Linked DNA regions of Drosophila melanogaster. The protein of the gene in region 1 interacts with the protein of each later gene in a biochemical or structural test. Each region holds a gene or a part of one and is shown in the gene's direction. Other genes may lie near its edges. The genes, in order: SC35 and Tnpo-SR.

Region 1 (5,358 bases):
CACCTCTGTAGTGATTCTGGTCGTGATTCCTGGGCATCTCTGCGCTGAGCCACTGCTGGCGACACGACGACGAGAAAAGCGGCCAAAGAAAGGGCCCTGGCCGGACGAACTGTTTTTGCGCGCAGGCCGAAAGCGATTAGCCATTTGTTTAGCGGCACAATAATGCCCGCAATTCGAATAGAAGTCAAGCAACACATGCGACGCCGACGTCGGCAGTGCTGACGCAGATTGAGGTTATGTACTAGGGCCAGCGATAATAACCTAAACGGAACCTGGTGAATGCAACCTATCTTTGGGGTTTTCCCTATCCCATTCCCCATTGTTGTGTCTCTGCCAACGGTCTTGCGACCAGCAGGTAGCAACAATAACACGCTTCTTTGTTGACGTCACAGAAGAAGCGAGTTCAATGGACGTGGGGCATGTGTATTTGGCAGGGGGTATTTAGGTAGCTAGCAAGCTCTATTTACCATTGTTTGCGATTTTGTCCGAGGGGTTGAGACCATCGATGGGCGTTGGATCCGCCGCCGCTGCTCCTGCTGAAGGCGTGGTGGCTGGCGAACCCGGCGCTGGCGATGCGGAATTGGAGGATGATGTGGGCGGCTGTGCTGAGGGTGCTGCTGCCCCCGCCCCCTGTGCAGTTGGAGGCGGTGGAGCTGCTCCCGCTGTGGATCCCCCGCTGCCGACGGAATCGGGTGTGGTGGCTGGCGTGGCTGAACCGGAGGCGGGACCCGGATCCGCCGTCTCCTCGGCCGCAGCCGCTGCAACCACTACTGCCGCCGCCTCCTCAGCTACATTCACAACGCTGTTGTAACTGAAACTGGGCACAAATTCTACCGCGTTCACGTTCAGCGTTGAGAACTTTGTGCTGATCTCCGTGTTTTCCTGGGCGGCCATCGTTGCAGTGCGTCCGTAATCCTCCGCAGTGGTTTCCTCCGATGAAAATCTCTCTCTCGCTTTTTTCACGCGACGACACACTTTCGCCCTCCTTCTACAAACTGCTTCAGCTGCTTCTTCTTGCTGCTCCCGCACTCACACAGAACACACGCGGTCGTTCGGAATTCTTGGGATTGCCTATGGTAATGGAAATTGGGAATGGCAAAAGCAATGCCACCAACACACGCACGCCTTGATGGTTGTTGGCCGGGGGGGTGGCTTGTGGGGGGTTTAGGCCAGACTTTCGGCTCAATGTGGTCTACACTTTTGTTGTGACTCGGTGTTGTGTTTGTTGTTTGTGCTTTGCTAGCCTGGCCAACTCGGGTTGAACTCGAATTCCCTTTAATTTGATCGACTATCGCCTGTTTGGGGCAGTGGTGACCACCTGGTGATCTGCAGGTATGATTCGACTACCTGAACACTAAATGCAGTGCTCGGAACTAGCAATCTTCTATTATTTTACACGTTTTAAGCCACGCATCAAGTCAGGGTTGCCACTTGTATGCGGTGTTATCGGTGCATCGATATGTGCTGGCTGTCACAGTGGCCTATAATTGATTTGGGGCAAAGTATTAAGATATTTTTAAATTTTTTTAGTAAGATTTTTAATACTTTTAAAATTATTCAACATAAATAATTATATTGCTTTTGTACTTTGTTCTGATTAATATAATTTTTTAAGGCTAAATATAACGTAGTCCACATGTACATATATAAATACAAACTGTATTTGTTTTATGTGTGACTAGACATTAATAATTTTTTATTCACTTTCAGTGAGTTTTTATAATTATTAATTTAGTTATTTTGTATAATAGAAGTGTAATGCGAGTTTTGTAAATATTGATAAGTGTGTAGTGAGCCTTGGGGTTTCAATACATTTCTAAGCTCATCATCAATGGTATCGAATTACAATCGATGTTGTTCCAGCTCTAACGTCGTGCCAGACGCCATTTTAACAGTAGTGAAAAAATCGTCTGGAGTTTGGCTCGTTTTCAGCATTCGCATTAGCATTTTAGCGGTAAAACAAATATCCAAATAGACAATGAGCAACGGTGGTGGTGCCGGGGGATTGGGCGCAGCGCGTCCACCTCCACGGATCGATGGAATGGTCTCGCTTAAGGCAAGTATCTGCTAAGTAAAATGCGACTAAATCGCCCACAAAATGGCGGCCGGCTGGCAACGTTGTGTGGTTAGGTAACCTCTCCAAAAGCATGTAAATTAATCCGCGTGTAATTATGCCTACAGGTCGACAATCTCACATATCGCACCACGCCGGAGGATCTGCGTCGGGTCTTCGAGCGGTGCGGCGAGGTGGGGGACATCTACATACCCAGGGATCGCTACACACGTGAGAGCCGCGGATTCGCATTTGTTCGGTAAGCATTCACTTCTCTTCCGGGAAAATTGTGAAAGTCTTAGGTCTTTTTTGTTTTGTTACTTTCACTTGCCGGCGGTGGATTTTAATTATCATGGGACCTAAAATGTATCCATACATACTAGGAGTAAAATATATGTATTTCCCGAAAGTATACTGCGAAAATCATGCTATACAATCACTCGTCATATCCGCTTTCACTATCTACTTTATAATGTTTCATTGAAAACTAGCACATTGAGGAAAAATGTTATGTATTCCCTGAATTAATCAGGGTATGCAAGCAAATTACAAAAGTCTCAGAGTAATCATTTAAATATCATTTGAATATAGCTGCTATAATAAGTACGCCCCTTGTCTAAACTCAAATATTCCTCTCATTTCATTAGAACTATTTGCATTATTTGCTATCATCGATTGTGTATCAGTTGCTAATCTGTACACTTTCAGTAGCAAAATGGTGCCAGAACAAATGTGTTCACTTGCAACCGTTGCCTACTCAACATTTACTAGCCAACGTACAGAGAATACTACATCTAAATAATAAGTTCTAAAGTTATAGTTTCATAACATATGGCTTCAATGATACATTAAGTTGATACAAGGTCACTTATTCTATTTATTTGTTGTATCTACCTGCATTATTTGCCCCTTTTGAATGTGTAACAGCTTTCAGTCTGTACATCTTCTTTAGCAAAAGGATGCTAGATTGAATGTGTACACTTGCAACAGTTGCCTACCAAACCCCTGCTAGCCAACTTACCGTAAGCCCTACAATTAAATATAGACTTAAATATAAATAAACGTATGTGCAAAGTACACACGAATCTAGTTGATCATGTCCTTAATTTTTTAGCTTCTATGACAAACGTGATGCCGAGGACGCACTGGAGGCCATGGATGGTCGCATGCTAGACGGCAGGGAGCTCCGCGTACAGATGGCCCGCTACGGACGCCCCTCTTCGCCCACTCGCAGCTCCAGTGGTCGTCGTGGCGGAGGAGGAGGCGGTGGTTCCGGCGGGCGTCGTCGGTCACGTTCTCGCTCCCCAATGCGCCGTCGTTCGCGCAGTCCGCGTCGCCGATCATACTCCCGTTCCCGCTCGCCTGGTAGCCACTCGCCGGAACGCCGATCCAAATTTTCACGCAGTCCAGTACGCGGCGACAGCCGCAATGGAATCGGAAGCGGATCTGGAGGACTGGCCCCAGCCGCGTCTCGTAGTCGCAGTCGCTCCTAGATATCGACGTCACGTTCCATTTAGTGGGAGTGCGAGGTGAGTTCATATCGTGTAACGCTTCAGAAAAAGCTTTATATAAGGTTAAACATACCTTACGTTAAATAGGGATTATTTTAAAACTAGTTGTTCTTTGCTTTCAGATATGACTCGCTGACTAGGGCCAATGCTGTATCCTGTTCCGGATCTATGGCTCCATCTGTGTCATGCTGTACCCGAACAGCAGGTATAGAAACCATTATACAATCTTACACTTAACACAACTATTTATAGCGAACTATTTTAAGTTTCGGCAGAGTAAATAAGTAGAGATCAGGCATGATTATGTTCCGAGTGAGATCCCCGCAACCTGGGCGATCCCTCGATGTCGGTTCTTGCACATAGGCTTTCATATACTAGAGCGTAGTAGAAATCCTTGAACGTAATCAGAAACAGAACAAAATAAACTCAAATTAACACGGCTTCAATTCAATACCTAAATATCAAATGACAGACAGGACAGGAGGAGAATGAGAGGTGGATGAGTGATAGGAATACTCTAGGATTCTGTTTGTTTCGTTGCGATTCGATTCGATTGCGTTTGTGTTGCTCGTTTCCGTTCTTTGTACCTTTTAACGACAAACTTATTAACAAGCTTCTCCCACACGTTTATTATATATATGCAGGCGAATGGTGTGTGGCAGTTGTTGCGGTTCAGATAAGATTGTGGTTAAATCGCTCGCGATTAAGGATCAGCAGCAGCGCATCATCTAAGCTACAACTCCTTCCTCACGTAGGCGGACACCGCGTGGCTCCTGATTGTTGCTACTGCTGCTGCTGCTGCAGATGCTGATGCTGATGCTGCTGCTGTCGCATGATGCTGTTGCTGGTGCCGCTGATGCTGCAGTTGCAGTTGCCGTAGCCGTAGCAGCTTCCTGTTTCCTGTTAGACGCTGGCGCTGCCAAAGCTGCTCCAGATTCACTCATAGTTTCCCGTTTCCCGTCACTTCTTCTCTCGCCTCGTCTCGTCTCGTCTCAACTCGCGATTTGTTGCTGGTTGGCGTTGTTGGTGTTTTCCTGTATCTTGGTGGGCGTCCCTTTTGAGTTTAGGCGAAAAGTCATCATTTGCAGCAGAGGCCACATCGACGATGCGATGGATGCTAGAGTCTGGATTGCATACTGACTCGACCGAAATGTGGGATTCCCTAACGATCTGGTACATTCGGTAAGTGAGAGAGCTAACCCTTTGAATTTGCAGCCTAATTAAACGCTTCAATAAAGTTTTACTTGATTATAACTTAACCATCTACATATGTTATTAATTGGTTGAAATGGGGTTTTAAAACATATATGTATCTTGGAATATTGTAAAGAAAGATCTAGTATCTTCGGATGCCCAGAACATCCATCCATTATGTTTCGGTTTCTATTGACTCCCGAGAAACATGGTAGTCGGGGGGTATATTGACAAAGCAGTTGCCGGGAAACCGAAGGCAAAATCACATATACCCAAGTCCTTCTGAATACGATTCAGAAACCCTTTTACACTTTCATCTAAATTATATTGGTTTCTCCTGCAAAGATGATTCAGTACGATACTGTGCAGATCAAGAATGTATCATGGTAAGCTTTAGTTATGCCCGACTTGGCTCAAGATGACTATTGTGTGCTCTCAGGCAGCCGGAACTGCATACGGAGGGCACCTATGTGTGCTCTTTTCCAGAGCCCCCGCTGCCGGAGGCCCATCTGAAACCGGGCACCTGGCATGGCCATCTGGAGCCGTATCAGCGGCTCTTCTATCATCAAACGATGAACTCGGTGCGCTCGAGCAAGCGGT
Region 2 (6,325 bases), 9.7 Mb from region 1:
AGGGATGATGGAAAAATTCAATCGGAAATTTCCTTTGATTAAGTACCTTTTTCGGATTGAAAATCGATTAGCCTTAGCAGATGCCTATTAAAAAAACGAATGATGAAATTCCGGGCTCTTCGTTGGGCAAATGAAGTTGAGCTACTTTTATATTCAAATTCAAATATAAGCGCAAAAATTTCTAAAAGTTTAAGAGCTTTTAAGTTTCATAAGCCATTTCTTTCATTTATTTCAACTTTTATTAAAATTATTCTCCATATTATTTAGTATCAAATTTAAGAATAAACGCCTAAAAAAGTTTATCTTTTAATTAAAATACAACTTTAATTTGATGCTATTGCACGAGTCATGATGATGCCAAGTACCTGGTGACCTTCAGTATGCACAAATGCTCGCCAGGAATGCGTCGCTCCATGAACTTAACAGCCCGGAACTGGAGGCCCTCTAAGTATTTGATAATCTCCTCCGGCTTGTTCTCCCGCAGCAGGAGTAGGTAGAGCACGCCTCGAGGCGAAAGAATGTCATCCAATTGCTTGAGTAGAATGTCCGTGACGCGTCGCCCGTCCTGTCCACCAGCCCAGGAGAAAACCAGATTGCGATCCGTTGAGGATTCGCTGTGCGAATCGAACTGTTGCGTCTGCAGCTCCTCGTCACTGGTGACTACATAGGGCGGATTGAAGAGCAGCACGTCCACGGATCGCGGACGCAGTGCATCCGCTAGGCTGCAGCGAATGCTATCCAAGCGAGCGCCATTCCGAGTCGCAGTTCTTCGAGTGGCATTGCAGGCTTTGGGATTGATATCCGTAGCTAGGCACAGCGAAAAGCCAGCCAGTTTCTTGGCCAGCGCCGTGATGATCACACCCGAACCGGAGCCCAGTTCGACGCAGAGACTCGGCTGTAGCCGGTCCAGGTACTCCAGATCCTTTTCCAGGGCATCCAGCAGCAGGAACGAGTCCTCCGCTGGCTCGTAAACGTGCTCGAAATCTTCTGGGCTCAAGTGGTCGGTGTAGGGCGTCTCCATGACGAACAGTAATTGGATTTAGGATATGTTGGTGCTGAGCGCGGAATCGAGAAGCGCCTGTCGCCGCCGCTGCTCCTTCTCTATCAGCTTGTGCAGACCCGTCAGCCGCTCCTGGCTGGTCACCAACACGTTGCTTATGACCGTCACCTTGTGCTTGACGTTCAGCAGCTCCTTCACCTTGTCCGCGAACTCGGGTATCTGACTCTGCGCCTTTTCGATGTCCCTCAGCTGGGCGGCCAGTGCATCCAGTTGGCCACGCAGCTCAGCCTGCAGCTGGATGGTGGAGGCCACGCGCTCGTCCAACCGCTCGATCGTCGGCTTGAAGAGATTGGTGATGCCCTCGGCGAGGATGTCGCGCGTGGGATTCGTGCAAAAGTTCTCCGTGTTCTCCTCCAAGGAAGTCACGGTGCTGTCCGAATCCATTGCAGAATTCTGATCAGAAAACTGATTAGAGATGTTGTTGCGAGCAACCAATGGTATCGATGTATCGACTACATAGGGGTGGCAAGTATTAAGATATAAAAACCGAGTAGCTTTATTGCTCAAAAAACGAATTCACATAAGCTAAAAAATATTTGACTGTAAAAATATTTTAATTATTTTTAATGGTCCTTAATGTTTGACGCACTTGACAACCCTGAATAATTTCAAAAAGTCCTGCAGACTATCGGACATTCACCTTTCAAAGTTATCGCATGCCACCTCCTTGCGTTATCGATACACGGGATGTACGCAATCAGCCATCGCTAATAAAGTATAATAATAAGTAATTAAGAAATTTTATGCGCTGATTAAAGCTGCCGATGAAATGGATACGTACTCGGTGGACGTGGTGTACCAAGCAATCAGCGCCCTCTTCCAAGGCAACAATCCCAAGGAGCAGGAGAAGGCCAACAAATGGCTCCAGGACTTCCAGAAGTCGGTGAGTGATAATCGCCCGGTGTACGAAACCTTCGTGCGATTGCTAAGTTTTTTTTTGGACTTCCTTAAAGATCTATTCTTGGACGATTGCGGACGAGCTGCTTCACCAGAAACGAGACCTGCACGCCAACTACTTTGCTGCGCAGACCATGCGGAACAAGATACAGAACTCCTTCAGCGAACTGCCACCGCACACGCACGAATCTCTGCGGGATTCACTGATCACACACATAGGCCAGATCGACGAGCAGACGGACAATGTGATTGTGACGCAGCTCAGTCTGGCGGTTGCCGATCTGGCCCTGCTGATGGCCAGCTGGCGGGAGCCGATCAACGATCTTCTGGTGACACTGGCGCCACATCAGTGCGCCATCTGGCCCCTGCTGGAGGTGCTCAAGGTGCTTCCCGAGGAAATAGACTCACGGTATCTGCGGCTGGGCGCCAATCGGCGCGAGGAGGTGCACAAGCAGCTGGACGCCAGCGCAGAGTGTGTCCTAAAGTTCCTGTGTATGTGCCTACAGCGGGAGGATCTCGACCAGCAGCGCGTGTGGAATGCGGCGTTGCGCACCTACAGTGCCTGGCTGGTGATCCATGCCTTTCCCGTCTCGCACGTGTACAACAACGCCCTCACACAGCTGGCCTTCCGGTTGCTCTCGCTGCCGGAGACCAGTGGAAAACTGCACGACAATGCCACCGAATGCGTGTGTGCGCTGCTCTCCTGCATAAACACACGACAGGATGGCGCCAGCGATCCGGAGTCCTCTTTCGAGGCACAACTCTTTGGAGCTGTCTGCATGCTGGAGACTCCCTATCACTTGAGTGTGGCGCACGAGGACACCGACAAGACGATCAACTACTGCCGAATTTTCACCTCGTTGTGCGATGCCTTCTTCTACGATTTATTGGCCGATGCCCAGAAGCCACACTACAGTTTGAAAGGACTGGATCTTGTGCTGCTTTGCGTCGGACACTTCGACTACGAGGTGGCCGAGATCACCTTCCACCTGTGGTACAAACTCTCCGAGGATCTATTCCAGCGCAACGAGGATAAGCTGACGGTTCTATTCCGGCCGCACATCGAGCGGCTGATCAGCGCCCTGTTTCGCCACTCGCAAATGGAGAGCGACCACGACGGGCTCATCGAGGAGAACAACAATTTCTTTGTGAGTGTGTGATATTGAGAAATTTTAGCAGTTTTCTTTGAAGTTGGGTATTTTAATTGAATAGGCATTTATGGCTAGAGTCGGTTTATTTAGAAATGAGTACAAGAAGTTTGATTAGTTTTCTACATTATCAACGTTAAATTAATATAATGCCTTGAAGTTAATTGTACTAATCTTAAAACAAATGAATTGCAGGACTTTCGACGCAAGGTCTCAGATCTAATAAAAGACGTGGCCTTCATAGTGGGATCTGGAGCGTGCTTCAAGCAAATGTTTCATATCCTGCAAGCTCCAGAAACTACGTGGGAGTCCACAGAGGCAGCACTGTTCATTATGCAGAACGTGGCCAAAAATATACTTCCGTACGTATGCAGCTGTTTATTACCATGTCAGATTTACAATACTTACCTTGCAGAGATGAGAACGAAGTGATCCCCAAGGTGGTGGAGGCGATTCTCAATATGTCGGAGCAAACGCACATAGCAGTTAGGTACACTGCGATTCTACTGATCGGCGAACTGTGCGACTGGATTGAGAACCATCCTGAATCGCTGGAGGCAGTCCTAAACTTTTTGCTGTACGCCCTGCAGCAGAAAAATGGCTTGGCGCCAGCTGCGGCCATTGCATTGACTTCCATTTGCTCCGCCTGCCGACAGAAGATGGTGTGCCATATAAGCGGTCTTGTGGAGATCGCCCGCAGTCTGGACAGCTTTCAAATAAACAACGATGTGGCAATAGGATTGCTAAAGGGCATATCGCTTATACTGACACGCCTGCCACGCGAGCAACTGCAGCCTGCTCTGCGGGAAATCGTCGGCTTCCAGCTGCAACCACTGGCACAATTGGTGGACAGCACTGGCAGTACTCCTCAAAAGGGAGAGCGCACCGATCCCGTTTACTGGATAGACCGCGCCTGCGCCATTATCCGACACACGAATCCAGACGTTCCCGACAACGTGGAGCACCCCACGGTAGCTATTCTGAACGACGCCTGGCAGCTGATATCGCGGGTGATGGATAAGTACCAGAGTGATCTGCGTATCATGGAGCGCACCTGCCGACTGATTCGCTACGGCATTCGGATGGTGAGAAAGCAAGCAATGATGCTGGTGGAACCGCTGATCAAACAAATGGTCGTGCTGTATTCTGTGCAGCACCACAGTTGCTTCCTCTACGTGGGTTCCATACTGGTGGACGAGTTCGCAAAGTCCAGCGAGTGCATTGGCGGACTTTTGGAGATGCTTCAGGCATTTATAGAGCCCACATTTGGCCTGCTTCAGATGGAGAACGGTCTAAAAAATAACCCCGACACAGTGGATGACTTCTTCCGTTTGGCATCGCGTTACCTGGACTGTTGTCCCCACCAGCTGCTCCAGAGCAGTCTCATCACGCCGATCTTCCAGTGTGCGCTAATAGCCTGCTCCTTGGACCACCGCGAGGCCAACTCGTCTGTGATGAAGTTCTTTATCAACCTGTTGGTTTGGGGCAGATCGAATAACCATAGCCGGAACACCGAGTGCCGTCCCTTGGTGGTGGAGCTGGCCAGTCAGCATGGCGGTGCTCTGGTGATGAACCTGATCCAGGCATCCGTCTTTCAGCTGCACTCCTACATGCTGGTGGATGTGGCCGAGGTGCTCCACGAACTGAAGCAGGTGGTGGGCAACGAGCGGATGCAGCCCTTCCTGGCCCAGGCGCTGGAGGCACTGCCCAAAAAGAACAGCGGTGGCTACGTGACAGCCACGCAGCAACAGCTGGACGAATTTAGCAGCACAGTTCTGAGGTGAGGATTTGCCATCAGACGTTTTGTATTTTATTCATAATATATTATATTTCCTTTTGTAGAGCGGACACAACGAAAGCCATTTCGCAAGCCTTGAAAACCTTCACGCGACTCTTTCGCTAATCAGGGAGATGCATGAGTTTGGATTCGGATGATTCTGTACATTTTGAATGATGTATGTAATGTGGCAAGGGTGCTAGGAATTTTGTTAAAAACGCACGTACCCCTCTATTTATAATATAGTTGAATCGATTGTTTGACGTAATAAGTTATATATAATTTGAATTGTACATTTTGAGTGCGGTCAAGAGATCCTCACAGAATTTAGCAGTAAGTTATTTACATCAGCGTGCACTCCTAGCTCTAAGTTTAAAACCTAAAATGACTCACAAACAAGCATAGGCATAAGGCAAACCATTAAATATATACCATTTAGATATAATTGACCACATTTGTTCTGCAAAACACTTGAGTATAATATTTATTTATTGAAAAAGCAATCACAAGACATTGGGCTGGAAGAAAAAAAAAACAAAAAAGTCTGGGAGCTGCGTTGTTCGTTTGACTTGTCTGATATTTCCGCAGGCTGATATGGAATTCTGGGCATGGATTTTGAGACACTGCGTCATGGACATTCGATGATGGATTTGTGAATTATGTACGTTGCACGGCTTAATCACAACTCCCACTGGGTACAAACTACAAACTAGACGATTGAAGAGATATCAAACAATACGTAACATGAAACATAAATATGCTTAGACTAACCTTTAAGTTACCAAAGCAGTACGTTACGAACAGAACCTTTTTGTTTCGAATTACATTTAGTCGCAATATTAATGTAAGCTATTAATAAGAACCAATTTTAGTTAAATTATTTGAAAATCTTTGATTTAGTTATAAAAATCTAACATTTTAATTTGAAAATCAGAGTTTTAAAATAACGAATTAAACATTTAGACGAAGAGACGTACATACTTTTTTTTTTTAATTGTTGTCTTAAATTGGTTATGCTTTGTGACACATTGTTCGCACGAACGGACTACTTTGGAGGACAAAGGGGGTACATATGGGCTCTACCTCAAAGGTTGATAAATACTTCTTTCACCTTAAAACTAATTGCACACATTATCTAATTGCACTTTTCGCCGGACAGCTAAAGACTACAGAACAAAATATTAAACTAATGGATGAAAATTGTAGCGGAGATTCACGATTCAAATTGTTTCAGTGCGAGGATCGATCTTGTGTATAGCCTGCATGAGGCTCTCGGTGTTCGCCGTGTTGATGCCCTGCTTGGACATGTCAGTCAGTCGGTCGGTGATTGGCTTTTGGTCCTGGCCGCGCTGCCACCTGAAAGGATGAGATATTCAGATTAGCCTTTTTCTTAATGCGGAAAGATTCGATTGGACTCACCACAGATGGGCGCAGGTGTGAAGC

The links.
Region 2: the proteins of SC35 (region 1) and Tnpo-SR interact in far-western blotting, tested with the Drosophila melanogaster proteins (one study listed by BioGRID).

Annotation. Positions count from the first base shown.
Region 1 is NT_033779.5:12,430,533-12,435,890, reverse strand, and holds SC35 (SR family splicing factor SC35), read left to right. Parts: upstream 1-1,852; 5' UTR 1,853-1,978; coding exon 1,979-2,056; intron 2,057-2,181; coding exon 2,182-2,312; intron 2,313-2,710; exon of another isoform or gene 2,711-2,866; intron 2,867-2,940; exon of another isoform or gene 2,941-3,093; intron 3,094-3,167; coding exon 3,168-3,546; 3' UTR 3,547-3,582; intron 3,583-3,686; 3' UTR 3,687-4,816; downstream 4,817-5,358. Other genes in the region: eRF3 (eukaryotic translation release factor 3), read right to left, coding at 468-894; CG5435 (uncharacterized protein), read left to right, coding at 5,104-5,144, 5,198-5,358.
Region 2 is NT_033779.5:2,758,204-2,764,528, forward strand, and holds Tnpo-SR (Transportin-Serine/Arginine rich), read left to right. Parts: upstream 1-1,720; 5' UTR 1,721-1,829; coding exon 1,830-1,943; intron 1,944-2,013; coding exon 2,014-3,105; intron 3,106-3,300; coding exon 3,301-3,467; intron 3,468-3,520; coding exon 3,521-4,885; intron 4,886-4,947; coding exon 4,948-5,008; 3' UTR 5,009-5,686; downstream 5,687-6,325. Other genes in the region: HemK2 (HemK methyltransferase 2), read right to left, coding at 347-1,021; Snapin (SNAP associated protein), read right to left, coding at 1,040-1,444; Snx21 (sorting nexin 21), read right to left, coding at 6,103-6,238, 6,302-6,325.